3 linked regions of the Arabidopsis thaliana genome follow. The protein of the gene in region 3 interacts with the protein of the main gene of each other region in a pairwise test. Each region holds a gene or a part of one and is shown on either strand. Other genes may lie near its edges. The genes, in order: TRX3, GUN5 and WRKY18.

What was found.
Region 1: the proteins of WRKY18 (region 3) and TRX3 interact in binary tests that used the Arabidopsis thaliana proteins (3 or more experiments, as listed by UniProt).
Region 2: the proteins of WRKY18 (region 3) and GUN5 interact in a two-hybrid assay, tested with the Arabidopsis thaliana proteins (one study listed by BioGRID).

What each region holds. Positions count from the first base shown.
Region 1 is NC_003076.8:17,237,980-17,246,649, forward strand, and holds TRX3 (thioredoxin 3), read left to right. Parts: upstream 1-4,627; 5' UTR 4,628-4,792; coding exon 4,793-4,879; intron 4,880-5,371; coding exon 5,372-5,494; intron 5,495-5,592; coding exon 5,593-5,739; 3' UTR 5,740-6,226; downstream 6,227-8,670. Other genes in the region: COP8 (Proteasome component (PCI) domain protein), read right to left, coding at 28-119, 217-285, 509-553, 639-747, 989-1,089, 1,178-1,270, 1,728-1,788, 1,877-1,980 and 2 more; UBC18 (ubiquitin-conjugating enzyme 18), read right to left, coding at 6,227-6,322, 6,428-6,516, 7,234-7,297, 7,518-7,620, 7,708-7,811, 7,896-7,925; AT5G43000 (uncharacterized protein), read right to left, coding at 8,375-8,670. UniProt on the Arabidopsis thaliana protein: Thiol-disulfide oxidoreductase that possesses disulfide reductase and insulin disulfide bonds reducing activities.
Region 2 is NC_003076.8:4,384,675-4,397,069, reverse strand, and holds GUN5 (magnesium-chelatase subunit chlH, chloroplast, putative / Mg-protoporphyrin IX chelatase, putative (CHLH)), read left to right. Parts: upstream 1-4,640; 5' UTR 4,641-4,987; coding exon 4,988-6,392; intron 6,393-6,487; coding exon 6,488-6,570; intron 6,571-6,669; coding exon 6,670-8,472; intron 8,473-8,561; coding exon 8,562-9,038; coding exon of another isoform or gene 9,039-9,042; intron 9,043-9,125; coding exon 9,126-9,503; 3' UTR 9,504-9,763; downstream 9,764-12,395. Other genes in the region: PDAT (phospholipid:diacylglycerol acyltransferase), read right to left, coding at 1-340, 556-815, 895-1,213, 1,669-1,952, 2,048-2,270, 3,096-3,541; AT5G13620 (uncharacterized protein), read left to right, coding at 10,697-11,370, 11,454-11,685; AT5G13610 (sporulation RMD1-like protein, putative (DUF155)), read right to left, coding at 12,262-12,390.
Region 3 is NC_003075.7:15,378,489-15,387,731, forward strand, and holds WRKY18 (WRKY DNA-binding protein 18), read left to right. Parts: upstream 1-4,288; 5' UTR 4,289-4,807; coding exon 4,808-4,876; intron 4,877-5,000; coding exon 5,001-5,063; intron 5,064-5,144; exon of another isoform or gene 5,145-5,327; coding exon 5,328-5,714; intron 5,715-5,806; coding exon 5,807-5,923; coding exon of another isoform or gene 5,924-6,004; exon of another isoform or gene 6,005-6,027; coding exon 6,028-6,324; 3' UTR 6,325-6,612; downstream 6,613-9,243. Other genes in the region: AT4G31790 (Tetrapyrrole (Corrin/Porphyrin) Methylase), read left to right, coding at 1-42; AT4G31805 (WRKY family transcription factor), read left to right, coding at 6,966-7,227, 7,408-7,829, 7,937-8,287; AT4G31810 (ATP-dependent caseinolytic (Clp) protease/crotonase family protein), read right to left, coding at 8,877-9,005, 9,112-9,153, 9,227-9,243. UniProt on the Arabidopsis thaliana protein: Transcription factor. Interacts specifically with the W box (5'-(T)TGAC[CT]-3'), a frequently occurring elicitor-responsive cis-acting element. Positively modulates defense-related gene expression and disease resistance.

The sequences.
Region 1 (8,670 bases), on a different chromosome or scaffold from region 3:
AGAAGATACTAATTCGACATCTCATACCTTATGTTTGTGTAGAGTTTGCTTGCACTAAGAAGGTTATGCTCAATCATAGCACGGTCAAGAACAGTGGATTTGTCAGGCAAAGATGCTTTCTGTTGAAATCAACAGTGTAATAACTTGTTATGAACCTACTTACCAACTCAGATGTTATCCAAAAACTACATCTAAATCTTAATTCACAGTCCATACCTGATGTGGCCTTAGTTCTTCTGAAAAGGCATCAATCTCTGGTCTCCTTAAAATCCTTTCCAGATACACCTATAAAGTTGCATTAAAAAACAAAAAGTTACCATGCATTTCTAACCAAGCCTCTATAAGCTATGGTGAACTTGTTTGATTTGATAATGAATCAAATCTAATAAACATCATGCCGGCTTAAACAAGAGTAATATGTGAGTTCAAACAATACTATATGTCCAATAGCATGAAAATGTATGTTTGTCTACTAGAGGAAACAGTTGTAGGTAATAAGAGATAGAACCTTCTGCAGGATAGGATAAATCTTCAGCTTGGAGCAACGCTCATCCTGTTAATAGAAAGATATTGAGAAATAAAAAACAATAAATAAGCAAGCAGGAAAGTATTCTATTTGTAATCCAAAAGGGAATTACTTTGTATAAAGTTGCAAGAACACGAGAACGCTGAGGACCAGCTCCAGCTAATATGGTACATGTGACAGCAGCTGATAGGGCCTGCTCTAAAGCATTCTCATCAATCTCTCTGAAAAGATTAGAAAACACATTATAACCGTTTCAGAATATGAGATATCACAAAGGTATTGGAGAGAGAAAAGAGGAACACTATTCAATCACAGAGAGGGGAAAAGTAGGAAACTAGCTTTAAATACAGAGTCTCCAAAGATGGATAGAAGATTAATTAATCATTATTCCATCCGAACAAGAAACCAACAGAGGAGAATTTGAAGAAAAGATGTAGCAGAAAGATAAGTCAGTTCACTTACTCATCCCCTATTTGGCGTTGCTCAATCTGAGATATGCCGTAATACCGAAGTGCAGCCTCTAAAAACTTTCTTTTCATGTCCAAAATTCTAGCATAGCAGACCTGAAACAGAAATATATTAAAACTTGAAAACGAATGCTCCTTAATCACCCAGCACATAAATTCTTAGTTTACTTTAAGGTGGTCCAACCTTGTACTGCAAATTCAAAACTTCATTCTGACTATTGCTCACTAAGAAAGAAGCTTTATTTATAAAAGCCTCTGCATTTACAGCATCATCATCCTGAAAATTTCAAAACACAAAAGTATTAGAGAACAATAAAAATTTAACTAAATGTATTTATACAACTCTGCTAGCCTCAATTTACTCTCACAAGCAATAAATAAAAAAGTGATGTAGTGAAGCAGAATAATGCTCTTAACAGTCGATATTCCTAATTTCATGACACTTAGATTTGGTCAAGAGACTTAACTTTAAATAAAATCTCTCTAGAAAAATGTCCAAATATTTGAAGATTGAATCAACATTCAACAACGGGTTTCTTTTGTGCTTTTAAGATCTAACTTCTGTAACTGATTGACACGCACCCACAGAAGGAAACAAGACAAACTAGCTATAAATCATTACTGCGATGCGTAAATTCATCTCATAAACAGAGATAACCGATTTACATGCTTAAAAATTAATGAAAAGGACACAGAATCTATTGTGCATATGTACATGAAAGGGAAAGACAAACCTCGAGATACAAACGAGCAATTTGGATACACTTTGAAAGCTTGAAGTTGTCGTCAACGGCCCTAATAAAGAATTCCGCAAATCCAAAATAAGCAACACAAAAGAACATAGAGAGGAAACTAAAACAAAATTCTGCTCAATGCCACACACCTCATTCCAGAATCCAGATCAATTCCACTCAACATCTGTGCTGCTTTTGACCATTCCTGCTCTGATTCATACAAACCCGCAAGTTTTTCTCTGATAACAAGTGCCTGCAAATACACCACAAACAGTTTCATCTCTTAGAATAAAGAGATTGAAAAACAACACAACGTACATTGTCTCAGTTATCCCAAAATACAGCATCCTTAGTAAACAAATATCTCAAATTAGCTTTCAGTGTAGATTTCACATACCAAAGCGGTACAATAGCAAAGCGACTCTACATACCTCTCAACTTATGTTAAGTAGGTAAACTAATTAGGGTTTAAAAAGTACACGATTGCTGCTAAACAGTAAGGTATCACGAAGAGAAAACAAACCTGTTCCTCAAAGGAAACAACTCTAGGCTGAATCTGGGTAAGAGTAAATTGAGCAATCTCCTTCTGCGTCTCCGGTTCTAATCTCCCAAGCTCTTGTGCGAAAGACTGCAAAAGCTGCCTCGAAACCACCAACGGGACATCATCGGAAAGAACTGGAAAAATTGTGAGGAAGCAAAAATCAAAATCAAACCAGAAATTCTGATATAAACCGAATTCCATAAGAACAAAAAGCAGTTGTCGAATCTCTTATGAAGTTGAAACCATGAGAAAGAAGGGAGATGCGAAATTACTGTGATCGATGAATCTCTGAGCTTGGAGAAGATCGTTGGAAGAGAGAACAGAGGAGAGGATGAGTTTGTACTGTTCGATTTTCTGGCGTTGGTCACCGATTGCAGAAGCGTTCGTCAAAGCTTCATCCATGGCTTCTCTTCTGAGATTTTCTCTCCCGCTTCGATTGAAACCCTAAGAAACCTTACAAGGTTTTGATTTCTCTCTCGCTTTTTTTTTTTTTTTTTTTGGAGTTTGCTCTCTTTTTATATTAAAAAAATAAACGGGGACTAGATTCTGTGCCGGTGATCGGAGAGGCGCTTTACAAAATTTACTTAATATGGTCACAACTCATATGAGATTAGTACCCAAAATAAATTAAAATATATATATATATATATTAAGCATAAATACTATATTTTTTTTTGTTAGTTCATAAATTTTATAATTAATTTGTGATGGTAAGTTTACCAAATTGATTGTAGATTAAAAAAAAAAATCAACAAATAATATATTGTTTAGAAATATTTTTATATGTGAGCCTAAATTACTACAGTAAATCTTTTACACAAATAAAAAAACACGTCGTGATTTGGAAAACACGATGATGAGGTATTTTATGATGACAATACCACGTTTAATATTATGATACCAGATCGGAAAAAGATGATATGTTATGTGTTTTAGAGCTTAGGGAGCAATTTAAGATGGAAACGTAAATAATTATTTGTTGAGAAAGAATCGACTAGAAGCAATCGAAAAATTGATCGAATGGTCAAGATATGACCGAGAAGTCATCGGAAAAGTTGTGAGCCCAAATCTTGAGAGCAATGACATGCAAAATGTTTTGAAAGTGCTCTCATGAATTAAAAGTGAAAAAAGAACCACTCTCTCGTTACATAGAGGGTAGTATATAAAGAAATTTACCTATCTCAGACTAGGAAACCAAGTCTCGCATTGGAATACGACTTTGGTTTAAACATGTGAGCTGACTGACAAATCGATTTTATGTGCTTTACAACTTAGATATAACTGAACATATTGGTATTGGATGAGGTTGGACGATAGACTCATAGACACAATCGTTGTCTCGAAAAATCACGAGTTTCTCTCGCTTAAAGGATTTTTTTTGATGAAGTTTATGGTGATCCCGTTCGAGAACATCACAATTGTTTTTGAATCAACTTTACAGATCCATATTGTAACTAATGATTATAGACTACATAGTTTACCAAAATTACATTTACTCAAAAGAACAGATGCGGTTGTTGATGGCAAAACTTTTTTGGAATGGTAGACATCCCATTGAAAGAAAACAAATTGCCATGGTATGGAATTCATGATAATGATTTAACTCGTTATAGTCTGGACAAATTGTCATGGTAGGGTTTCATTGCTCTTTCTTTGGGTAGTTACCTCAAGATATCTCTTTGTTCTTCCTTGTGATAGTTCCACCTTGATATGTACAACCCCACATTAATCTGCTCATTTCAACATTAATTTTCTCTATTGTTTTTAAATTGTGTGTATAAGATTATTTCACTAACTAGGAAAACAATCCATTTCTTTGACACATGGGCTTTACTTAAACAAAAGCCCAATAACTTGTGTTTAGAAGTCACATGATCAAATCTCAAGACCTATTATAAATTAACAAATTTCATATTGATAAATTTTAAAAGATTTCCTATTACAATATTTAAAGTTGCTACAAATTATAGATTCTTTTGATCTTTTCTGATATTGTTTCTCAAATAAAATATAGGAATACCAAATTACAATATGAAAGTTGCTTCAAATTATAGATTCTTTTCTGATTTTGTTTCTCAAATAAAATATAGGACTGAACTACCAAAGGCAATAATATTCAATGTGACCAACAAAAAAAAAATAAAAAATAAAAAGAAATACTCAAATCTCATAACCTTTTTGACTAAATATATCAATTTCTTCTATTTTCAATGAGCATAAATTACACGCGTCCTCAGAAGCTGAATCCGATTTGCAATTCTTCAATCTCAACCGTTAGATCAACAAATCCGGCATCGAATTCCTCCGCGTGGTTTGGTCCATTTTTTTAATTTGAGTATTAATTCTTTTCCTATTTGACAACATGTTTTATTAATTATTATTATTATTCCATTTGCATTAAAATATAATAAAAAGATGTAAGATTCTCTCCGCCTCCTTCTCTCTATAAGAACCGACACAGAGACGAAGAAGAATAATCACTCGAAAACTCATCAAATCAAAAATCAAACACAGAGAAGAGAAAATGGCCGCAGAAGGAGAAGTTATCGCTTGCCACACCGTTGAAGATTGGACCGAGAAGCTCAAAGCCGCCAACGAATCCAAGAAACTGGTAAAAACTCTCGATCTAAGGTTTTAAATGTTTCTTTCTGATTGATTTCGCTGCTTTATCGTTTCTGATCTTGGTCCTTTTGATTAGAATATGACGGATTCAGAATTAGGTTTGAATTGTCCCCAATCGAATTTTTGAGCTCCTTAATGTCAAATTTATGAACCCTAATAGTTTAATTGATTGTTTAGGAACCCAGAATCTCAGAAATTGAAACCCTAAGAACTTGATAGAAGCATCATTGGATAAAAACATGTTATGTGAATCTCTCAACTATGCATATTCAATTTTATGAATCATCTGCTAGAGATCACATGAAAATTGTCTTTAGTGAACCCATTTTGTATCTATGTTTGTATTATTATCCATGTTCTGTGAAGCACATGAAATGCATACATTTGTTATCTTAATGATGAACCGATGTCGTATCTATTGTTTGAATTATCGATCGGTGTAGCTTGTTTTCTTAAATATGGTTGTGTGGAAATGACACAGATTGTGATAGACTTCACTGCAACATGGTGCCCACCTTGCCGTTTCATTGCACCCGTCTTTGCTGACTTAGCCAAGAAGCACCTCGACGTAGTCTTCTTCAAGGTCGATGTTGACGAATTGAACGTGAGTTTCCTTCATCAATCTTACACTATCCCAATATCCAAACTTAGGGATTTTTGACTTCTCTGAGCCTTTATCTTGCTTGTTATGTTGTTGTGCAGACTGTTGCTGAGGAGTTTAAAGTTCAGGCAATGCCAACGTTTATCTTCATGAAAGAAGGAGAGATCAAGGAGACTGTGGTTGGTGCTGCTAAAGAAGAAATCATTGCCAATCTCGAGAAGCACAAGACAGTTGTTGCTGCTGCTTGATTTGCTTTTCTCTCTTACCTATTTTGCTAAAATATGTTTGGTGTTTTAATAAATCCTTTGTTCGCCCGAGTCTTTTCACCTTAAATGTGCTCTTATGTGTGGTGGTGAATAAATGTTGTTGCAAACTTGATTACTCGCAGCTATGCTAATTGTTCGTTCATGGTTATGTTTACTCTTTGGGGATTCTATTGTTATGTTAGTTTTTCAATTTTCAATTACATTACACCAACTAGTTATCAATCCAATTACATTGCCAAATACAATTTCGTTTTGCCTAAACTCTCCATGGTTTTTCACTTCAGAAAGGACAAAAGCACAAGGTGTTAATTCAGACACTGAAACATTTCAGATGTCATTTATACATAATGATCCGTTACAGAAAAAAAAGTGGGAGGCCATGAGGAATTTCAATTAGTATTATCAGTCTTGGGAAATTATATAAACCTCTTTTGTAACTGAAAGGAGAGACATCTTACGGTCGTCATCATTAAACCTTGTCGTCATGGAACCACCACCTTGTCTCTTTAGGAGACCTCCCGTTCTTGCAGTTCTTCACATATCGATCGTTATCAGTCGGGCGTTGCTGATATTGTCATCGACAATAAGACATAGTAAGAGTTGTGTGGCAGGGTCAAAAAGTTTGAATTTGTGACAACAATACAAAGTGTGAGAGATCAAATGTAGAAACCTTTTCGGGGGAACTTGATAGCATTGAGAGGATGCTGATGCAGACTGAACTCACTGTCATTGCTGGAGACCATGAGTCATACAGAATATCTACAAAAAGGAATTAGAGAGTGTGTTATATTAAGCGCATAATCCTAATGGACTTTCTCCTAAAATGAGGCCGGGTATAATCGTGATTATGTATTGTAACAAATGGTTCAGTTCCACCACGATTTCATTAGACCGGATTTAGATGCATTGAGAACAGATTTAAGAAATTTACATAAAACTTTCATGTTCTTATTGTTTAGTGAAAACAGCAAAACTAAAATGTGTTATTTGATTTTAACTCAAATGGGAGTTTCAAGTTATTTGATCAACATTCCAAAGGGAGTTTCAATATAACTAGAAATTGAGAGGCTGTTATAATCATGGATCAGATTCTGATTTTGCTAAAGAATTCACCATAGAGTCCAAAAGGGACGGTATTGGTTTTCTTTATGGCGTTGATAACACATTCACACCTAATTTCATGTCATGCGACGCTAGTATTAGGAACTCTTTAAGAATGAGACAGACTGAGAAAAAGGTTAAGACTGGTAACAATGTTGATATAATATATTAGGACTCTTAAGGGTATTGTTACTAACATTGCTTCTCTTTTCGCTACATTACATTCCGTGAACAAGAACAACCTATATATGTAAGTATCAAACAGATAAACTAATTTGATTGACACACACATGACTTGAGCTAGCATTTCAGAGAAACCAAAAAGTAAGAGCAAATGCAAAGAGTAAGTAGTGTAGAAACAATGAGTAAAATTACCTAAACAAATATGTCCATTGCTGTAAATATGAGGATGTAACGGTGCTGGTGGAACAAAAATCACCTGATCAAAAACCAAACACATGAAAATCAGAACACAGCACAAAACCAAGTAGAGAAAATGTCACTATATCTCAAACTAATTCTCTGACCTAAAACATGCAATACAACCATAAAAACACTCTGGTTTCAGTTAATTAATCCACAATTAAGAAATTTGAAATAAACCCTTAATCAAAAACAACAAATTTTTCAGAACAAAACCAACACAATGAAAAACTTGCCTGAGGAGCTTCCATAGGATAATGTTGAGGAAACTCAACCTGAAGATTATAAGTTTCATTAGCGTAAAGCGTACCAGGTGCTCCTGTTACCTCAATTACCCATCTTTAAATCACACAAAAACAAAAAAAACAATCAAAAATCGAAATGATAAATAATCAAAAAAAGGAAAGATTTTGAAATGAAAATTACTTTTGAAGATTATCAGTAACTCTGTGCTTAAACCCAGTCGGTGGATTTACTTGCCACTCTGATAACTCCTTTTGTAACCTATTACACGCGATCTTGCTTAACGCCTACACAAATCTCAAAAATTCAAAAAATCACAATCGGAGAATCAAAAAACACATAAGAAGACAAGAGTGAGAGAATCTAAGAACCTTGCGTGAAGGAGATGAAGAGCTTGTCATGGCGGAGACAAAGAGAGAGAGAGAGAGAGACGAAGACAGAGAGGTCTTGCTTAAGCTTTTGTCTGGATCTTTCTTCTTCTACTCGAATATTATTATTATTGAAAATGAAATCAAAAAGTGTAAACAAAAGGAAATAAAAATATTTTTCGGGGTGAGGAAAGGGCACACGTGAAAGAGTCAAAATTACAAAATTAACCATTTTCATCGGACGGCTATTAATCTTCCTTCGTGTTCACACGTGTCGTTTATCCTTCACTGACTCCACGGGACATTGAAGAGTCGATTTTATTTATAGATTTTTTTTTGTAACAAAGATTCTCTTACATTGTAGCTACCAAAGTCGTACGATCATAAGTACATAAGTTTTTAAGACAAAGTACATTACATTAAACATACGTCTCCATCTATATAATGTTTCAGCTTTCATTCTATAGTAGGCTTCTAATAGTTTATGGGTCATCATTTGGCCCAACATGAATAGCCACTTCTTGCTCTAGCTCAATACCATCTAGTGGGTCTTGAAGAGGCTCAACGTGAACTACCGTTTCTTGTTGTAGGTCAATACCATCTAATGGACATTGATGAGGTGCAATAATACAATCTTGTGACTCTTGATCTAGCACAATATCATCTTGAAGGTTTTGGTCTTTTCCATCTGATGGGTCATTAAGAGCCCCGATACAGTTTTGTGACTCTTGGTCCGGTCCAAGAACCCGATTGGTTTCTTGTGGGACGAGTTCTTGCT
Region 2 (12,395 bases), on a different chromosome or scaffold from region 3:
ACCACTCTGCGTCCCGCGCCCTTCCAACAGGTTAGCCGGCGGAGAGTGATTGTATTCTCTTATATAAGTCTTGATTCCGGAAGGGTTGAATCTTGTCTTGCCACGCCACGCTTTTGCACACATGTACCCGGCACTTAGGACGGGTACTGTTTCATCCCCATCCACATTGTAAACTCCTGCTTTCAGACAGCTATCTTCGTCCTCCTCGTGAGCAGAAGTGAATATCTGAAAGGGGATGCAACTGTCGGGAGACTGGTTAAGCTTGTATACGTATGCTCGTTCCGTTGGTATCCCCACTCCGTATAATGAGTAGATTTCCATCTCAGGAGCATTCGGTAATCTGAAAAAGCAGAACAAACCAAACGGAGGATTTATAAGCAAGAGTCACATGTATCAACTTTAGCACCTCAATATTACTGAGCAAGCCTTTTTGAGAAAGGCTCAGAAACAGCTTTGTAAGCTTTGAGCTGAAAACCATATCCAACAAGACCGAAAACAAAAAGACTGATAATGCATCAGGACGAAGGATACAGTTGGAATCAAGAAATCACTTACTTTGTCTCTAACGGATTTGACCAGTATTTGGGATCTTGATACTTGGTGTCATCCAAATCATCAGCAATTCCATAAGAGAAATGAGCGGCACCACGCGCCATCATCTTAGGAGCAACATAATGTAGTAGATCTATAGCTTCACCAGCAGTGTAGACCTTATACTCAGCGATAGCTTTGATCCCAGCAATTCCCATGTCATGGTACTCTGTCCACACGTCACGACAGGTGTGATTTGGGATACTCTGACCTTTGACAGCACCCTTCACCAGATAAAATGTACAGATATTCATCATACAATCACAAAATGTACAAGGTTTATTATGATTTATATGTCCTTACTCGAAAATCAATATTATTAATCTCAGATGGCGCAGCCTCTGCTACTTCTTTCCCAAAAGATATCATCCTTCCATAGTTAACAGGACTTTTCTTGGAAACTCCGTTTTCACCTGCTTCACCACAAGTTTCGTTGTTCTTTTGCTTTTTCCCACAACAGGTGTGGCCTTTCTCCGGTGACCAATCAAGCCCGCCCCATATCGTGTCACCTCCCTTCGGTAACATAGACATTGTTGAGTCCCATGTGCGTGTCATTCTCATTACATGCTGCAAGGTCTGAAGTCTAAATATATCGGTGTCTAAGAATCCTGGGGCAATCGCTCTGCAATTTTCGAAGAAAGTAAAGTTCTATATTAAGGAACCAAGTGACTAATAGAGCAACTAATCCAACGAGTCTTTAATTAAGAAGAAATAAAAGACCATAGATGCATATACAAGAAAATTGAAAGAAGCAGAATAACGCTAATTGGTAAAGAATGCAAGCATGGAAGCTCCAGCGCTTTCCATAGCAAAATTCAATGCCCTCCAAAAGACAGTATGACAAATGTTATCGTCGAAGCTAAGAAACTGGTCATCACAGAGCAATGCGTAAGAATTATCAATTCATCATTTGTCTAATCTCAAGAGAGTTTCAGTTACATAAGCAGCAAAAATAATCAACCAATGTCAGTTGCAGCGATAATATAGCAATGTTATTAGAATTGATATTTAGTAGAATAACTTTGAGTTCCAGAGCCAAGGTTCTGATCATCAAAAGTATAAGCAGATATTCAATACCTGGCAACTGCAACATCCTTTGCTTCAGCAGAGAAAAGCCCTGCAACAGCTTTTGGAACACCAAGAAATGGTCCACCAATGTTCATCACCGCCTTAATATACTTTGCACACCAATCTGGCCCACCCCCGCCACCCAGAGGAGCTGGTGCCTCAACCCACTTCATAAAATGTAGAAAATACAAGACCCCCATGGAATGCGGAACTATAACTGCTTTTTTTCCACCGTTGGTAGAAACCATCAACTCTATATTACTTTTCATACGGCTAAGAGTCTGATCACGTACCTATTAATTCAACATGAAACATATTTAAGCCTTAAGTAATGAAGAAAGAAACGTAACATGGAACAGAATAATAGAAAGAACGATGAGAAAAGAACCTCTGTGTTCTGAAACGAAAGCCGCCAGTCATATGCAGCCATGTACATATTTTTCTCTTCATATCCAATATGTGCAAGGTTAGCAATCAGCACTGCCCAGACAAAGTAGCCAGGAGCAAAGTAGTCAGCAGCCACGAGTCCTGATACAGCTCGAACTCTAATACCAGCTGGATCCAACCCAGTTTCATTGTCAAGTGACATGTGTTCCACCCAACATAGAGGCCTGAATCAAAGAGATAATTGATTAGTTAAGATACTATCAACTATACCACTGTTACCATCAACAATAACATTGCCCATCTCTACCATAGCAAAAACATGAACACTGAGCCGAAAGAAGAAGATGCAGATCGTAACAAAGATGCAACCCACAAAACACTTTTTTTTTAATATATCCATAGCAGGGTCGGGAGGAGTTCAAAGCTGGATAACAGAACGAGGATGGACGAAATTCAAGACATGTGAATAAACTCGATGTGAAACTTTGAAATTGAGAAAAAAATTGAGAAAAGCACATTGAGCTGAAAGATCAAAAAGGAACTAGCTTTAATTACACATATACATAGTTGAATAATAAAGCAACAGTCCTCTATCACAGCCTGAACACACTTTCCACAGATGTAGTTAGAACTTCTCTATTCCCAACAAAACATAAAACACTACTTCATTATACGCTACACAAAGCTAAATCTACACGCAACGACAGTAAAGGAAGTAACTTGTTATGAACGGACTCTAGGGCATGTCTAGCAACAGATTTGGCAATAAGATGACTTGAAATTCCAAGGCAGCTATTTTATATCCTAAAGTTAACAATCAAACAGAAATAGTCCAAGCCAATTACGTCCTTGGAACGCTTACCTTACACATACAGAAATAGTCTCTTAAGAAAATAGCGTTTCACATCAAAAAAAAAAAAAAGTAAAGAGTAAGACAGACAAACATGGAATTAAAGTTTGAGTGATGTTGAAGAAGCAACAAGTGCGTGATCTCATCAGATCCAATCCAAATCCCAATATAAAGGAAGAGTGAGAATTGTTGAGCTCACCTTTTGTAGACTTCACCAAAAGTTCCACCCCACAAACGTTTTCTAAATAAACCATCAGCGCATTGTTTGCCTTCCCAAAGCTCGAGCCCACCGGTGACAATCCCAGGAATGAAGACAACAGGATGTTTCGCCTTAAGACCTTCTTTTTTGAGCTTAACACCGGGCGGGTCAGGCAAAGGACCCGTGATTCGCTCCGTTACATACTGAGGGAAGCTCGCAGGCATTGCGTTGTAAAGGAAGAGAAGAAACCACCAGGTTACACACACACACCCAATGAACCAACAACAAGAATCGATGCACGACCACTTCCCTCCTCCGTTCGATTTCTTATGGTGGGATTTGGAAGATTCGTGTGGTTTCTTTTGCGAATCCTCATCGTGCACCACCTCTTCAGATGGCGGCGTCGATGGTTTCTCCGTCGGCTTTTTCCGATGAATAAGGGGCATATCTGTCACTTGAAATTAAACCAGGTTAAGCTATACGGACTTTGTCAAATCTCGTCCAGGAATTTAGAACACAGATTAGGGATTGTTAGATCAGTCGAGAGAGACAAAGAGCTGTTTCTCTGCGAATTTCTGGAACCAATCAAATCAAATTTGTCTCTTTTGTTTATTGTCGACTTTTCTGTTTTTTTCTGTTCTGGTATTATTCCTCCAAGGGACTCGGACCGGATGGCAAAACTTGACCACTTTGCTCCTGGTTCAGGTTGCGGTTCATGGTCAACCTTAGACCCGACCTATCCGTTTCGTTGATTTCATTAATTAGTCTGCGTTTTCTTGGGTGGAGTGCAGACAGATTTTCTTCTGCAGTAGGCGTTAATCCGATAGGCTCTTGTTGGGCCTCAAATAGTTCAGTAAACTTTTCGTGGGGCTTTTAGTATAGCCCATGTATTAATAACAATATTACACTTGGGAAATGACAAAAAAAAAAAAGAGAATGAAGCGGTACTCTTATATCAAAAAAACATATTGTATATCTTCGAATATGATGCAACTCATGCAACAACAATACTAGTAGGCTACATGTATTGCTCCATTTAATTACATATAACTTAATATTCTAATTCATAAACTTTCTTTTAATTATATATTTTATGTAAGTTTTAAATATTGAAAAAAAAAAAAGTTTTAAATATTGAAACATGATAAGTTTTTACATCCATTTATTATAAAAAAAATAGTGATGATGATGATCAAAATTTTGAGTACATTTTAGAGTGTTTTAACTTTTACATTTGTTGTTACAATTGTTATGAGTCTGATATTTCAAATTTCGTTTTCAAAGAAAAATCCTGAGTTTACCTTAAAAGATTAAAGCCAGTTTTTAAGAAATAAGTAGAAAAATATCAAACCAGACCTAGCTGAACCAAAAATTATACAAAATCTAGACCGGATTAAACCGGCTACCCGACGAATATGCCTAGTAAAAGTGTCGTCATCGGAAAAGAATCTTTTACATGGCTGAAACCGCAAATACGATCTTCAAGAGAGCAACATAAAAATACTTGTCAAATAAGTAAAGAAAATAAGACACTCAATATCCACACTCCCAAACCATGAAAATATGAATAGAAATCTCAATGAGCCAATCAGAGGCCAGCAAAGTCCATCTCATTGTCCCAAGCGGATATACATCCGACAAAACTCAACCTCACAAGTAGACTCTCCCTTCTTCCGTAACTATTCGTCCACGTGTCCTTCCCTCTCACCACTTACCTTCAAAACCAACGCTTCTTTTTTAGTTCCTTGGTCCGAAGCGTTTACCGATGAGAGAATCATAAACTCCCACTTGGAGCTCAAAAAGTGTAAGAGACAACCAACAAAAAACGATTCATCTCTTCTCCTATCCTCTCCTCTTCGAATTCAACGTTTGGAGAATCCAGCAGCCGCAAAATGGCTTCGCTTGTGTATTCTCCATTCACTCTATCCACTTCTAAAGCAGAGCATCTCTCTTCGCTCACTAACAGTACCAAACATTCTTTCCTCCGGAAGAAACACAGATCAACCAAACCAGCCAAATCTTTCTTCAAGGTGAAATCTGCTGTATCTGGAAACGGCCTCTTCACACAGACGAACCCGGAGGTCCGTCGTATAGTTCCGATCAAGAGAGACAACGTTCCGACGGTGAAAATCGTCTACGTCGTCCTCGAGGCTCAGTACCAGTCTTCTCTCAGTGAAGCCGTGCAATCTCTCAACAAGACTTCGAGATTCGCATCCTACGAAGTGGTTGGATACTTGGTCGAGGAGCTTAGAGACAAGAACACTTACAACAACTTCTGCGAAGACCTTAAAGACGCCAACATCTTCATTGGTTCTCTGATCTTCGTCGAGGAATTGGCGATTAAAGTTAAGGATGCGGTGGAGAAGGAGAGAGACAGGATGGACGCAGTTCTTGTCTTCCCTTCAATGCCTGAGGTAATGAGACTGAACAAGCTTGGATCTTTTAGTATGTCTCAATTGGGTCAGTCAAAGTCTCCGTTTTTCCAACTCTTCAAGAGGAAGAAACAAGGCTCTGCTGGTTTTGCCGATAGTATGTTGAAGCTTGTTAGGACTTTGCCTAAGGTTTTGAAGTACTTACCTAGTGACAAGGCTCAAGATGCTCGTCTCTACATCTTGAGTTTACAGTTTTGGCTTGGAGGCTCTCCTGATAATCTTCAGAATTTTGTTAAGATGATTTCTGGATCTTATGTTCCGGCTTTGAAAGGTGTCAAAATCGAGTATTCGGATCCGGTTTTGTTCTTGGATACTGGAATTTGGCATCCACTTGCTCCAACCATGTACGATGATGTGAAGGAGTACTGGAACTGGTATGACACTAGAAGGGACACCAATGACTCACTCAAGAGGAAAGATGCAACGGTTGTCGGTTTAGTCTTGCAGAGGAGTCACATTGTGACTGGTGATGATAGTCACTATGTGGCTGTTATCATGGAGCTTGAGGCTAGAGGTGCTAAGGTCGTTCCTATATTCGCAGGAGGGTTGGATTTCTCTGGTCCAGTAGAGAAATATTTCGTAGACCCGGTGTCGAAACAGCCCATCGTAAACTCTGCTGTCTCCTTGACTGGTTTTGCTCTTGTTGGTGGACCTGCAAGGCAGGATCATCCCAGGGCTATCGAAGCCCTGAAAAAGCTCGATGTTCCTTACCTTGTGGCAGTACCACTGGTGTTCCAGACGACAGAGGAATGGCTAAACAGCACACTTGGTCTGCATCCCATCCAGGTGGCTCTGCAGGTTGCCCTCCCTGAGCTTGATGGAGCGATGGAGCCAATCGTTTTCGCTGGTCGTGACCCTAGAACAGGTTAGTCCACTTATGACCATATTGCATTTTTCATGATTGTCATTACGCAAGAGTGGGAATGTTTTCTTATGGAGGTGGTTTACCAATTGCTGCAGGGAAGTCACATGCTCTCCACAAGAGAGTGGAGCAACTCTGCATCAGAGCGATTCGATGGGGTGAGCTCAAAAGAAAAACTAAGGTATTGTATTACCACTCATCCTTAGTGAAATCACATTCCTTCATGACTTTCTCAAGAATGTAATGTATGTTCTCATGAATCAACTCTGGCTCATTGCAGGCAGAGAAGAAGCTGGCAATCACTGTTTTCAGTTTCCCACCTGATAAAGGTAATGTAGGGACTGCAGCTTACCTCAATGTGTTTGCTTCCATCTTCTCGGTGTTAAGAGACCTCAAGAGAGATGGCTACAATGTTGAAGGCCTTCCTGAGAATGCAGAGACTCTTATTGAAGAAATCATTCATGACAAGGAGGCTCAGTTCAGCAGCCCTAACCTCAATGTAGCTTACAAAATGGGAGTCCGTGAGTACCAAGACCTCACTCCTTATGCAAATGCCCTGGAAGAAAACTGGGGGAAACCTCCGGGGAACCTTAACTCAGATGGAGAGAACCTTCTTGTCTATGGAAAAGCGTACGGTAATGTTTTCATCGGAGTGCAACCAACATTTGGGTATGAAGGTGATCCCATGAGGCTGCTTTTCTCCAAGTCAGCAAGTCCTCATCACGGTTTTGCTGCTTACTACTCTTATGTAGAAAAGATCTTCAAAGCTGATGCTGTTCTTCATTTTGGAACACATGGTTCTCTCGAGTTTATGCCCGGGAAGCAAGTGGGAATGAGTGATGCTTGTTTTCCCGACAGTCTTATCGGGAACATTCCCAATGTCTACTATTATGCAGCTAACAATCCCTCTGAAGCTACCATTGCAAAGAGGAGAAGTTATGCCAACACCATCAGTTATTTGACTCCTCCAGCTGAGAATGCTGGTCTATACAAAGGGCTGAAGCAGTTGAGTGAGCTGATATCGTCCTATCAGTCTCTGAAGGACACGGGGAGAGGTCCACAGATCGTCAGTTCCATCATCAGCACAGCTAAGCAATGTAATCTTGATAAGGATGTGGATCTTCCAGATGAAGGCTTGGAGTTGTCACCTAAAGACAGAGATTCTGTGGTTGGGAAAGTTTATTCCAAGATTATGGAGATTGAATCAAGGCTTTTGCCGTGCGGGCTTCACGTCATTGGAGAGCCTCCATCCGCCATGGAAGCTGTGGCCACACTGGTCAACATTGCTGCTCTAGATCGTCCGGAGGATGAGATTTCAGCTCTTCCTTCTATATTAGCTGAGTGTGTTGGAAGGGAGATAGAGGATGTTTACAGAGGAAGCGACAAGGGTATCTTGAGCGATGTAGAGCTTCTCAAAGAGATCACTGATGCCTCACGTGGCGCTGTTTCCGCCTTTGTGGAAAAAACAACAAATAGCAAAGGACAGGTGGTGGATGTGTCTGACAAGCTTACCTCGCTTCTTGGGTTTGGAATCAATGAGCCATGGGTTGAGTATTTGTCCAACACCAAGTTCTACAGGGCGAACAGAGATAAGCTCAGAACAGTGTTTGGTTTCCTTGGAGAGTGCCTGAAGTTGGTGGTCATGGACAACGAACTAGGGAGTCTAATGCAAGCTTTGGAAGGCAAGTACGTCGAGCCTGGCCCCGGAGGTGATCCCATCAGAAACCCAAAGGTCTTACCAACCGGTAAAAACATCCATGCCTTAGATCCTCAGGCTATTCCCACAACAGCAGCAATGGCAAGTGCCAAGATTGTGGTTGAGAGGTTGGTAGAGAGACAGAAGCTCGAAAACGAAGGGAAATATCCCGAGACAATCGCGCTTGTTCTTTGGGGAACTGACAACATCAAAACATATGGGGAGTCTCTTGGGCAGGTTCTTTGGATGATTGGTGTGAGACCAATTGCTGATACTTTTGGAAGAGTGAACCGTGTCGAGCCTGTGAGCTTAGAAGAACTAGGAAGGCCGAGGATCGATGTAGTTGTTAACTGCTCAGGGGTCTTCCGTGATCTCTTTATCAACCAGGTAACCAGATAAAAGCTTTCTCTCTTCTTTCATTTAGATTCTTGTTGGTTGGTCTCTCATGGTGTTTCTTCCTTGAATTATCTTGACAGATGAACCTTCTTGACCGAGCTATCAAGATGGTGGCGGAGCTAGATGAGCCTGTAGAGCAAAATTTTGTAAGGAAACACGCGTTGGAACAAGCAGAGGCGCTTGGCATTGATATTAGAGAGGCAGCGACAAGAGTTTTCTCAAACGCTTCAGGGTCATACTCAGCCAACATCAGTCTTGCTGTTGAAAACTCGTCATGGAACGATGAGAAACAGCTTCAGGACATGTACTTGAGCCGCAAATCGTTTGCGTTTGATAGTGATGCTCCTGGAGCAGGAATGGCTGAGAAGAAGCAGGTCTTTGAGATGGCTCTTAGCACTGCAGAAGTCACCTTCCAGAACCTGGATTCTTCAGAGATTTCTTTGACTGATGTGAGCCACTACTTCGATTCTGACCCTACAAATCTAGTTCAGAGTTTGAGGAAGGATAAGAAGAAACCAAGCTCTTACATTGCTGACACTACAACTGCAAACGCGCAGGTGAGTGAATTTTCTTTGTAGTTCATATATGGGATCAGTTTTACCTTGCAAGAACACATTCCTTAAGGTATTTGTTGAATCTGGCAGGTGAGGACACTATCTGAGACAGTGAGGCTGGACGCAAGAACAAAGCTGCTGAATCCAAAGTGGTACGAAGGAATGATGTCAAGTGGATATGAAGGAGTTCGTGAGATAGAGAAGAGACTGTCCAACACTGTGGGATGGAGTGCAACGTCAGGTCAAGTAGACAATTGGGTCTACGAGGAGGCCAACTCAACTTTCATCCAAGACGAGGAGATGCTGAACCGTCTCATGAACACCAATCCCAACTCCTTCAGGAAAATGCTTCAGACTTTCTTGGAGGCCAATGGTCGTGGCTACTGGGACACTTCCGCTGAAAACATAGAGAAGCTCAAGGAATTGTACTCGCAGGTGGAAGACAAGATCGAAGGGATCGATCGATAAACAATGGGATATAAGCCTTTCTTCTTGTAAATGAACTTAAAACTTTATTTTTGTGTATTACAGTATTCTACCAAACGACATCATCTCTCTGTGAATAAGAGAATGTTTTGGCTGACATTTTCTGACTTTATATGAATGTTGTGGAGCTTCTTCTTTCATCTCCATTTCTTATATCATATTCATATGTGTGGATTTTATATGCGAAGAAAATGAAACTATAGTTAAGTGTAAACAAACTATGGTTGAGTCATGCTTTTGCGCCAAGAAAGGACAATTTGTCTTTATGTGAATTCAAAGTGGAGCGTTTTGGAGAAGCACTAGATCTAAGGTGTTCTCACATGTATATATAAGATGAAGCTATGCTGTGAACGTGGCAAAGGGAAATGAGCAAGAGAGAGATACAATGTAGAAAGCAAGCAAGAGAGAGAGATAGCCATTAAAAAGGTGTAATCTTTGGTTTTTCTCTTGAGAGTGTAACAGAGAAGAGATCTCAAGTGTGAGACTCTTTCTCTGTGGAATTCCCTCTTGTAACTTGCTTATTCTAGTGGATTCCGAGATGTGACTCGGCCCAGACTTTAGCATAAATATTATGTGTGTTCTCTCTTCCTTTCTCACCTTTCTCCTATCAAAGTCTCTGTTCTTTTCTCTGCATATATTATGTTTCATTTCCATGTGTTGGACTCTGTTTTGCATCAAACTACTTCAGTCTTGGTTTGCTAAGGTTTAAGCTCAAGAAAGTCAATAAGTCTTTGAGCCTCTGAAACCAAACAATATGGAACAAAACATCCTTGGAAAAGTTTATTTAAATGACATAGAGAAGAAATTGCTTGGCCATATATGAATAGACCATATAGTATAAATAAAATGCTGTACAACTGGACTCCAAGAAACAATACATAGGAATGTTTAAAACTAGTATCAAGAAGACAGAAAATAAAATAATATGGAAACATGAAAATAGCTAAATATAAGACAGAGTATAAATAGGAATGGATAGGACAATTCAAGAAAAAATAAGAATAGACATTGGTTCATGAATAATTGGGTCTCTTTATAAAGAAAACAATGTCTGTCCAGATTTACATATTCAACATTTCAGTAAATTCCTTTTAATCACTCTTACTTATATCTATCTTTTCATCACTTATCAGTATCACCAGATAATCTCATACCTGCGTTGCAAAGACTAACTAATGGCTTCATCTTCATCTGCAGTAGCCGTGACGCGAGACGAGTTCAATGCTTTCCACAAGTGTGACAGAGCCCTTTTCCGCCGTTTTGTCGTGCGACTAAGGCGAGACATTAATCAGTCTCTCCAGGTCATGAGCTTTCTCCTCTATCTCGAGAAAAGTGGTCTTGTAAGCAACCTAATCGTCAACTTTAATTCTTTACCTGATTTCTTCATCAACACAGTGGCTGACGAAGTTGTTATGTGTCTGAGTTGTTTGTCCTACGAAAATTTCTCTATGTTTGTTGCCAACTTTGGGAAAAAAATCATACCTTTGATCACGCGGATGACTGGAGAGTACCTTACTCTCGCAGTCATCCACCAGAACCGTGAAAGCATTCTTCTTGACATGAAGAAGCATTTAACCAGTATATGTTACCCAGCTTTTGAGGATATATGCGTGCAAGCTGAGAAGGAAAAGGTGATAGAGGATATGAAGCACTTGGGGTTTAGCAAGGCTGTTCATAAAGCTGGATCAAGTAGCCAGTTCTTAAGTGAACAACAAGCAACAACAAGAACAAGCAAGGTTGGTGTATTCTCTGAGGATGAGCAAGCAAGGGAAGACGACAGGACTGTCTTCCTCACATTTTCTAGAGGATACCCGCTTTCTGAAGCTGAAGTGCATGCCTACTTCACCAGGTACTACTAAAACCTTTATATATAAGGCATGCATATACATAGTAGTGGAGTGTTTAAATGGTGTGTGTGTTTGGGTGTTGAAGGAGATTTGGAGAGATTATAGAAGCGATAATCATGCCTGGAGGGGAAGGGAATGAGCAGGCGCTGTATGCAAAGATGGTGTTACATTCTGCAGCCATGATACCGGAGATTGTAAGTGATGGGATCGAAAGGAACAAGTACACCATTAATGGAAAACATGTTTGGGCTCGAAAATACATTCCCAGATCCTCCATTAATAATAATCTTGCCCCATCCTATGGAGTTGCTCTCTAGTTTTTATTGTATCATACTTCTTGTTTGAACTTGAGGAGTTGTGTGTACCTTTATCATTTCTTTTTGGAACTTTATTTGGTGGTATTCGATATTATTGTATGTTGTTGTGTGGATGACTTCTATTTTGCATGGACTTTTTTTTTCGTCACCTTCGAGTACATCTTTCATTTTATTTACCCTTCTTCTCTTTCTTTATGCAATGACTCCTTATTTTACTTGGTGTATATAAGTTTTCATTAGAAAACATTTCTCAATCCTTATTCTCATAGTTCAAAACCTCATTTTGCTTCGTAATTTCACTTTTATTAATATAACAACACTACATTGAAATTGAAATTAAAAGAAGGCTTGCACCTGTGAAATAAATGATTTTATATGCATAACCAAGTCTTGTTGGACTGAAAAGAAGCAGGCTCTTAAATGCAAAGAGAATCTGTAACAAACGTAGTCCTAACTCCTAAACTCATTCTTATTTATGAGCTTTGTTATAAAGTTATCACTTTGCATTGTGAAGAAAAGTGGTAACCATAATAAAGAATATGAATATGCTTTAGAAATGGCAGAGGATGATCTCGATCACAAGGATGCCCGAGACATATTATAGAAAGAAATCGCGATCTCCATACTAATCAGGATAATGATTAGCCACTCCAGAGTAGCTGATTTCCTGTTCTGAAGTATTTCTTGAAGGAAACGAACGTTGTGCTGCA
Region 3 (9,243 bases):
GAAGAGATGTTAGAGTTTTACAAATACAAAAGTGGAAACTAAAAGACCACAAAACTAAAGAAGACTCTTCTTATCATTACTCGCAAAGCTTCAAGGCAGAGCAGGAGGAGGAAGAGATTGAAACTAGGAACTGATAGGTGAAATACTCTTCTTCATCTCTATTGACTTTCGAGGTTTTGGTAGTGAATTTTGTATAAGCATAGTTATGGTGTGACTTCGAATTGGAAAGGTGGATATTGAAATATTCATTTGGCTATAGATTGAGGTGGATTTTGTATCAAAGCTTTGTTTCAGAGATAATTTTATTTTGGCTTGGTTTGGTTTGGTTTGAGGATTTGAAACCAAACTAGAGGTCGTTTCGGTTTGTTTTTGTTCGGTCTGGTTCTTGAGGGTTGATTACCCTTCAAAAGATCATTGTTTAGTTTATGATTGTCTCCTTAAACCACCACACGTCCAAAGATTGTATTTTATTATTGCCCCTAAGTTAGAACTGAGAAAACTTTGTAACGTTCAAATATAATGATGTTTATAGAAATGGAAACGTCGGGTTAATCAGAATTTCTATGAAGGAAACGTAAAATAAAAATCTAACACATGGAAATATCCGACTTAGTTTTAGATGAATCAAAATCCGAGTCTTACTTTTTTCAAAGCTGGGATAAAGCTCTGGTCCTAATTGAGACCACAATTTAAAAAATCATGACTTCTTTTTTAACAATAATTCCACTCAAAAGTCATTTAAAATTTTGACAAGTAAGCCTTTTAAGGAGGCTGATGAATGATAGATGATGCACAAACGATGACGTAGGATTATTTACGTAACGAGGCTGATGAATCATGAACGTAACGTAGTTCACCACCATTCAGAAAAGAGAACATACATAAGGAATAATATGTCTGGCTAAATTGTCGCATGACTTGAGCAACTAGTCTATAGTTTTTACTTTTACTTACAAACAAATCGATTTGGTCCATTTTCTATTAGTTCTTGAAATCTCTAACAGATAGATTATTCCGTTTGGTTTTAGCTTTTAAATAAGCTTGACTCATCATCAACTTAAGTCTTTCTTAAAGATACTGTATAAAATATATCGCTATATTAATTTTAAATGGTTAATGTATCGATTTGTTTCGTACACTAATTACCAAGCATTGTATTCATTTCTATTTTTGTCATAATCATTTTTTGATTATTTTTTTTTTTTTCTGCAATTATATTCTTTCGGCTGAAGTCTTATGTTTAGAAATTTTAAATTCACGTAAACATTTGACCTAAAACTATCATAACAGATTTAAATAATTATCCAAAATTTTATTTTAGTTAGAAATTGAACAAGTAAAGTTAGTAATTTAACCGGTTATATGAATAGTTTATGCACATACGAGTTCATGATTAAATTTGAAGAAAATAAAAATTAATTCTCCGATAGGAAGAGATATGCAAATGAGAAAACTAAATTATTCTTTAGTAAACCGCTCTTACAAACCGTATTTTCAGATTAACAAAAGAGACAAATATAAAAACGTATCATGATGATACTTTCAGATGCTGATCGTAATGACGTCATCGTATCGACGTCGTCATGTAGAATATCCGAGAGAGAGTTTTACACGACGACTTAAGAAAGATCTTTGGTCGTCTTTCTTATAAGGTCTTATGATAAGACTTATCACTCCACATAGGATCAATAAACTAAAAACACTTCCTGAAATATTTTTCCAACCATGTTATATTTGTTTAATTAACTTTTCCATGAGCCCTAACTCATTTCTTCACTAATTATATTATTGTTATTCATCTCTTGTTAACAATATCCAACTTGACCAATATATCTTTATTGTTCGTCAACTGTCATCGATCTATATCACTTTACGTATAGGATTAATGTGGCGTAAAAAGATAAAGAAGTTTGGTCCAAATTTCAATATCAAACTTCTAGTGATGAGAAATTTCTATTTGGTCTACATCGGGGAACAGATCATTCCACTTATGAATCCCCATTACTAATTTTCCATTCCTATTACAGACGTTTTACGTAGTAGGGAATCTAGTTTATTAATATACATATCACATAGATTAATCTTGATTGTTTCGCAAATTTTAATGGTTTTCGGAAACAAAAAGGGGGTACAAAGTGAGCTTTCCGAAATAGTGTAGTTCCCAGCATCCAAATCTCTCAAAATTCCTTCCACAATTAGAACGATTGTTCGTTCGTTCGTTTTCACAATGTATCTCGACCTCTTTTAGCAAGAGTTTGCTACTAAACTCGAACCAAGTGGAAACATGTGGGTTTTGCAATCTAAATTGAATTTGTTTTGTCAAAAAAGGTTCTTATATTTAGTACACTGTAAAAAATTTCGTTTCTAATAACATAAATACCTAGTATAGTGTAATGGTGTTCAGAGTTAGCATGCAAACTTGTGTTAGGAAAGGATATCAAAAGTCTCTTGTTTCAACAATTTTTATTTTATATTCAAAAATTATTATGATTTGATCTTTCAAGTTGATTCAATTCATGAAGATCACATAAAGCTTCTTCTCTGAAATGAATGTCACATGGAATAATTATGTATTGAAGAGCAAAAACCGCATATAGTAACCTAGCTTAAACCGAATATACCCGAAGTCAAGACTTTAATGAGAATCAGACTAAATCCTGAATTTATTTGAAAACAAATCATATGATTTGGTCTTCGGTCCGGTAAAAAAACTCAGATAAGTTTGAAAACAAGTTTTAATATTTATACTATATGATTCCGTCTTAATCAAAATTGTCAACTTACATCAATAAAATCAAAACTCATTTTAACTAGATTCTAAGAATCTCATCGAACAATCGATCTTTGTAAATCTTCATGGAATAGTGGTTAGCATTTGTATCATTGAGTTTGAAAGAAACGGAATAATTAAAGATGACACTAAATTCACAACTTTGAACAAACAAACAAAAAAAAGTGACAAGAAAAATAGAGGTCGGTGTCGGAGCCGCCCAAGGTGGCAACTTGTTCACACCTCATAATAAAAGCTTCTCACAAGTTGGAAGTCGCGGTCGAGTCCAGTCAAGATTTTGTTGCCCTTTTCCCGTGTGGGCTCACCACCCTCTTTGTCTTCTTCTCCCCAAAAATTTTCCACGTTTTTTGTTTCACTCTCTCAATTTATTTATATTTTTTTTGTCGGCTCATATTTAATTTGTGTTAATTAACACTTCCTTGATTAGAAAGTTTTTTTGTACCGACTTAAATTTATCATGCAATGTGATTGGTCGCTTTCCCAAAACAATCTCTCAACGACAAAAAAGTAGTAATTAGTAATTAAATACATTATATTTTGTTGTTAAATAGTACTCATTCTATTTCAAAATATAAAATATTTAAGTAAATATCACACGGTTAATGAATTTAAATATATAACTCAAGTATAGTACTAAAAAGAATACTTTAACAAACAAACAGAAACCTATTGTACAGTAAAATATCAATCAGTGAATTATTAATCAAATAGTAAGGGAAACTAGGATATAATAGAAAAAGAATTGCCGACCTACAAATCAGAGTCAATGGTCAAGCAAGTCAAGGGAAAGTTCGTAATTGTTATGGATCTGGAGTCTGGACAAATTAAAAAAAATTTGTTAAATAGAAGAGGATATAAAGGGAACACAGATCCTACATATTGAAATTTATGTATGACGTCCAAATTTTTCTTCAGCATGGGACACTGCCCCGCCGAAATTATTGATTTTTCGGATCTTTCTTCTACTTGCTTCTTTTTTGTTTGCTTTTATAAGTTTTGCATAGCTAATTCTTAATTTCTTATCATTTATTTCTAGTTGGTAGAGACTTATAAATTGAACGTTTCAAGTCTTTGGACGGTATTTGAGATTTCTTGTAATTTCACTTGTAATTGTACCACCTAACAGTGACTAAAGCAGAATAAATTACGATTCGTATACAACAAAGTATTCAAATTTCTAAATGTGGATATATTATTGATTTTATTTTGGGAAACATGTTTATGATAATCACCTATATCTCCTCTATAGTCTACTAGAAACGATATTTGTCACCTTCATCGTACAAGACTATAATGTATAATTCTATCCATAATGAACGATCTAGTTTTTAACATGTACTATAGAGATGAATGATTACGACAGTAAATTTAACCCATGCATACGAAAATACATACCGATAGATATAACACAATTCAGAATGTTTTACACAATCCCATATTTTTAGCCAATCAGTGTGATTTTAATAGACAGCTTTCTATGTCTTGTTGTGCTTTTTCTTCTTCTTTTTTTCCCAAAGTCTTTAATGTCTTCTGGACTTTATAGAAGACAGCTTTTTATATGTTATCTTCACTTTCGAACGACTTTCCTTCCTAACATATCCCAAAACCTATCTCTTTAATTTATTCCTATCGTACTTACAGCTTTTATTAAAAAAACTTTCTTATTTTAATCACTAAACAATTAATAAAACATTTATTTATGATTTTTCATTTTCGTTAAAGCTCTTTTATTAAAAACTTAATCACAACAAATTTATTAATCTTAAATTTGACCTTAGGATAAAATTTATATATTAATCTTATATCTGTTATACATTAAATAAACTTTAATTTCTGCGCAACAAACTAATTTATTATTTATTTCTTGTCTCTGTCTTTGTAGTTTTAGTATAAATAAAGCCATTTTGCTCCGAGGAACTTCTCATTCAGTCGGACCAACTTGTGACCGAAGAAAGCAAATTGAGACTACGCACCAACTAGTCCTTTGGTTTGTATCTTAAGATAAAGGTTTCTTTTATGGACGGTTCTTCGTTTCTCGACATCTCTCTCGATCTCAACACCAATCCTTTCTCCGCAAAACTTCCGGTAAGTCCGGATTTCGTCTGATCCATTTTCCCGAAATCTAAGTTGATTTTTGTATCCCTTCAATTTCTATGAACTGGGATTTTGGGAATTAATCATGGGTTCATTTCAAATTTTCGTATTTCAGAAGAAGGAGGTCTCAGTTTTGGCTTCTACTCACTTAAAGAGGAAATGGTTGGAGCAAGACGAGGTTAGTTCTTTCGTCGAACACTTGGTGTGCACTACCTTCGACTTCATATACTTGTTCGAACATTCAGCTTTTATCAATTCTTTAACTTCACTTTAGTACTTTACGAATCAATTAAGATGGGTCTGAGTTTGAATGTCTTTGCATCGAAATGAATCGGTGATGATGTAGTTAGTATAAAGTCTGAAACTTTACATAATCAATCTTGTTTGGAACAAAAAGGAAGAATCTTTTTAGTAATTTGATCTTTGTGGTGGTAATGAACAGAGCGCAAGTGAGTTACGAGAGGAGCTAAACAGAGTTAATTCAGAGAACAAGAAGCTAACAGAGATGTTAGCTAGAGTCTGTGAGAGCTACAACGAACTACATAATCATTTGGAGAAGCTTCAGAGTCGCCAGAGCCCTGAAATCGAGCAGACCGATATACCGATAAAGAAAAGAAAACAAGACCCGGATGAGTTCTTAGGCTTTCCTATTGGACTCAGTAGTGGAAAAACTGAGAACAGCTCCAGCAACGAAGATCATCATCATCATCATCAGCAACATGAGCAGAAAAATCAGCTTCTTTCATGTAAAAGACCAGTCACTGATAGCTTCAACAAAGCAAAAGTTTCGACTGTCTACGTGCCTACTGAAACATCGGACACAAGCTTGGTAAGGGATTTTGTCTGTGAATCTTTTGATTAAAGAGTCATATGTTTGAAATTGCATAGAGACAAATGACTAAGCAGAGTGTAACTCTGCAGACAGTTAAAGATGGATTTCAATGGAGGAAATACGGACAAAAGGTTACAAGAGACAACCCGTCACCTAGAGCTTACTTTAGATGCTCGTTTGCACCGTCTTGTCCAGTAAAAAAGAAGGTAATTTACACACATCGAGTTTATTGTATTTATAGCTTCATTTGTAATTGTTTATCTCTGCTTGCTTCTTCAGTTGTCTAATGATCTGTGGTATTACTGTTCAGGTACAACGCAGCGCAGAGGATCCATCTTTACTTGTAGCGACATACGAAGGGACGCATAACCACTTGGGTCCAAATGCTTCTGAAGGGGATGCTACAAGCCAGGGTGGGTCAAGCACAGTGACTTTGGATCTGGTTAATGGCTGTCATAGACTAGCGTTGGAGAAAAACGAAAGGGATAATACGATGCAAGAGGTTCTGATTCAACAAATGGCGTCATCGTTAACAAAAGATTCGAAATTTACAGCTGCTCTTGCTGCTGCTATATCTGGGAGGTTAATGGAGCAATCTAGAACATGAACGTTTTTAGTGAATGTATTGTTTTTGTTTGTTTAGAATGATTCTTCGTTTTCGAATTGTGTCTTTCGATTAGGAGATAAAAGATGTATATAAATATTATAAGTAGATGAAGAAATCGTATAAGTATTCGAGAAACTTTAAATGTACGAATTCTATATAACCAGTTAGATGTCGTCTGAATACTGTATATGAAAATTTTGAAATAAATGATGTGGTTAAAAAAGGGTCACCATAAATATTCAATCACAATAGTCTCTTTCATTTATTGGAAATTTGGAGTCATTTGAGAAAGAAATAAGAATTGGACATCACTAAATAGTATCTTAAGTATTCTTTAATAATGTGTTACACAAGTAAATTATGTATTAAGTTGGTAATACAATGATCGGAAAAAGAAGCGCAAAAATTCAAATGAGAAAAATCAAAGTTTCCCTCCATAAACTCACTCTGCAAGTCTCGTGATTCTCATTTATTTCCTCTCCCCATCTGTTCATAGCTCTCTGTTACGACTCCGTCCCACCATTATCAATGTCTATCCGATCTTGGTCCCTCCTACGAAGCCTTCTTCCTTTTAAATCTCGTCTCTTGTTCCAAACCCAAAAACCCATGATTATTCGTTTTCTGTCTTCTCTTGGTTTTCAATGGAAGGCTCGCGGCGGAGGAGGGGAGATGGGTGCACTATCGTGCAGTGTTATACTCCTAGGAGATTCGTGGGCCGGTGGCTTTCGGGGTTGAGAAGTTCCAAGGGGAAGAGAGATGCAGGGGAGGAACAAGAAGATGACACCAGAAGGTATCAATTAGCGCCTATAAGGTGTTCGACGAGTTTAAATCAGCTGGTAATGCAGGACAATAAGCAGAACTGCCGCCTGAATAAGAGTAAAGAGCCGGAGACTAATACATTTGGTGAGAATCTTGTGTTTTTCTTTTTCATACACTTTTAATTCTCTGGAAATAGCCTAATGATCATTGAACGGTAAGATTGTCTTTAGAATTTGAAGGAGTTCCCTTTTTCTCTTATAGGTAAACAAGACTTGTCTTTGGTGGGTTATGTTTATAGACTTATACTTAGTTTTCTTTGTGCAGAGTCACAAAGCAGAGAGTCACCTTTGGAAGTGGGAATTGGTTCTTTTTTGCTCTATCTTGTTGTTGCAAGTAAAACCGAGCTTGATAAGATGACAAACCTGCGAATGCAAATGGAGATGTTTCTTCTTAATGCAAAAGAACAACTACAGAAGAAGGATACACCTATGTCTTCAAATGAAGCAAGCGGTTTCCAGTTTTCTCCTCAAGAATTCTCGAATTTGGCGTCATCCATTTTCCAAGAGTCATCATCGAGTGTTCTTCAAGAGGAGTACACCGAATTCGAGGTCTCAGAGCCAGAGGATTATCGTCGAGGAACAGACTGCAACTCAAAACTCCAGGCTGAGGTAGGTAGGTTACCTCTGGGTGAAAAAGCAGAGGATAGACAAACAAAGCATCAGATTCAGAGACAATGCAAACTTAAAGTACTTCAAAGAAAACCCTTTTATCTTCTTAAGTTGGGTTTCAACTGTTTAAGCAATTATGAAACAGGCTCTTGATTCTCAGACTTGTGGTTCTTTTGTGTTTGTAGGACAATGAGGTCACAAAGAGTCATATACCAGAGATGGTGGTGTCAGATGAAAGATATGGAGTGTGTCCGTACGAACTAGACAAAAAGCTGCATGAACTACTGGAGACAAGGCAACAAGAAGAGTTAGTGAAGCTTGAGACTGCTCTGAATCGTGTTGAACGCAGACTACAAGAGAAAGAAACCGAGGTTTCATGGTGGAAAGACGCAGCCCGCCTGCTTGCCCAGCGTGTTCCTGAATCTTCTCGGTCTGGACTAGAATGGTGCAACCCAGACTCTTCCACATGTTCAGAGCGATCTGTTCCAAGATCTTATGAAGCATGTTCGATACACCGCACCAGTTTTTCTAGATGAAAAAATCCTTAAGTGGAAGAGGAAGAGTTTAGATTTGCTGTTACAGTGTTTGCCTGAAGAGTTCTTAAGCATTTGTGTGAAGTTTACTTTTAGTTAAACTAGTAGCCACTACCCCTGTTTGGTGCAATGTTATACATACCACCTGAAAATCACTATCCACGGTAAGAATTGCACTGTACTGAATCCAATCAAGCTTATTTATTGCTGAAGAGAAGTGTTTGAACATTTTTTTATCTCAATCCATTAAGTGGAAGAGCCTAGATTTGCTGTTACAGTGTTTGTCTGAACTCTGAAGATCTTTTGTGTGAAGTTTACTTTTTTGTTAAACTAGTTGCCACTGTAACTGTTTGGAATTGCACTGTATCTTTATCCAATCAAACTTCTTCTGAATTCTACACTTTGGCCTTTCAACATTATAATGGAATCCTCTCACAGAAAACGAAGAAACTACAGGATAGTTAAAAACTTGACACTCCCTAATGAAGAAAAACAGAGTTTGACAGGATAATGTCATTGCAGAGATCTCATTTGCGCATAGATCGGTGGAATTCTTTATTGCAAGTAATGAGTGTCATCAGTAGGTTTTTCCTCAAAAATAAGGCTCTCGTTGAGCTGTTGGCAGCTTCAACTCAGAATCTGAATCATCGAGCTCTGAGGCTGGCGTGAAGTAGCAATCCACCATGTCTTTGCTCACATCTTCTAGGCGTGGAGGATCCCACTGCAAATATTAACAAACCACGAATTAGAACGTAAAACCTGGAACATGAACATAAGCTAAAGGAGTTGCAAACGTCTAATTTTGAGGCTGATATGTTTGTATGCACCTTTGGAGCAAAGTCTTTATCTACCAAACGGGCTCGAATACCCTATCAACAGAAAACAACTTCAATATGTGCAAAAAAATGATGCTTTAATTGACAAATTAGTGAAATATTTTACCTCGCAAAAGTCGCCAG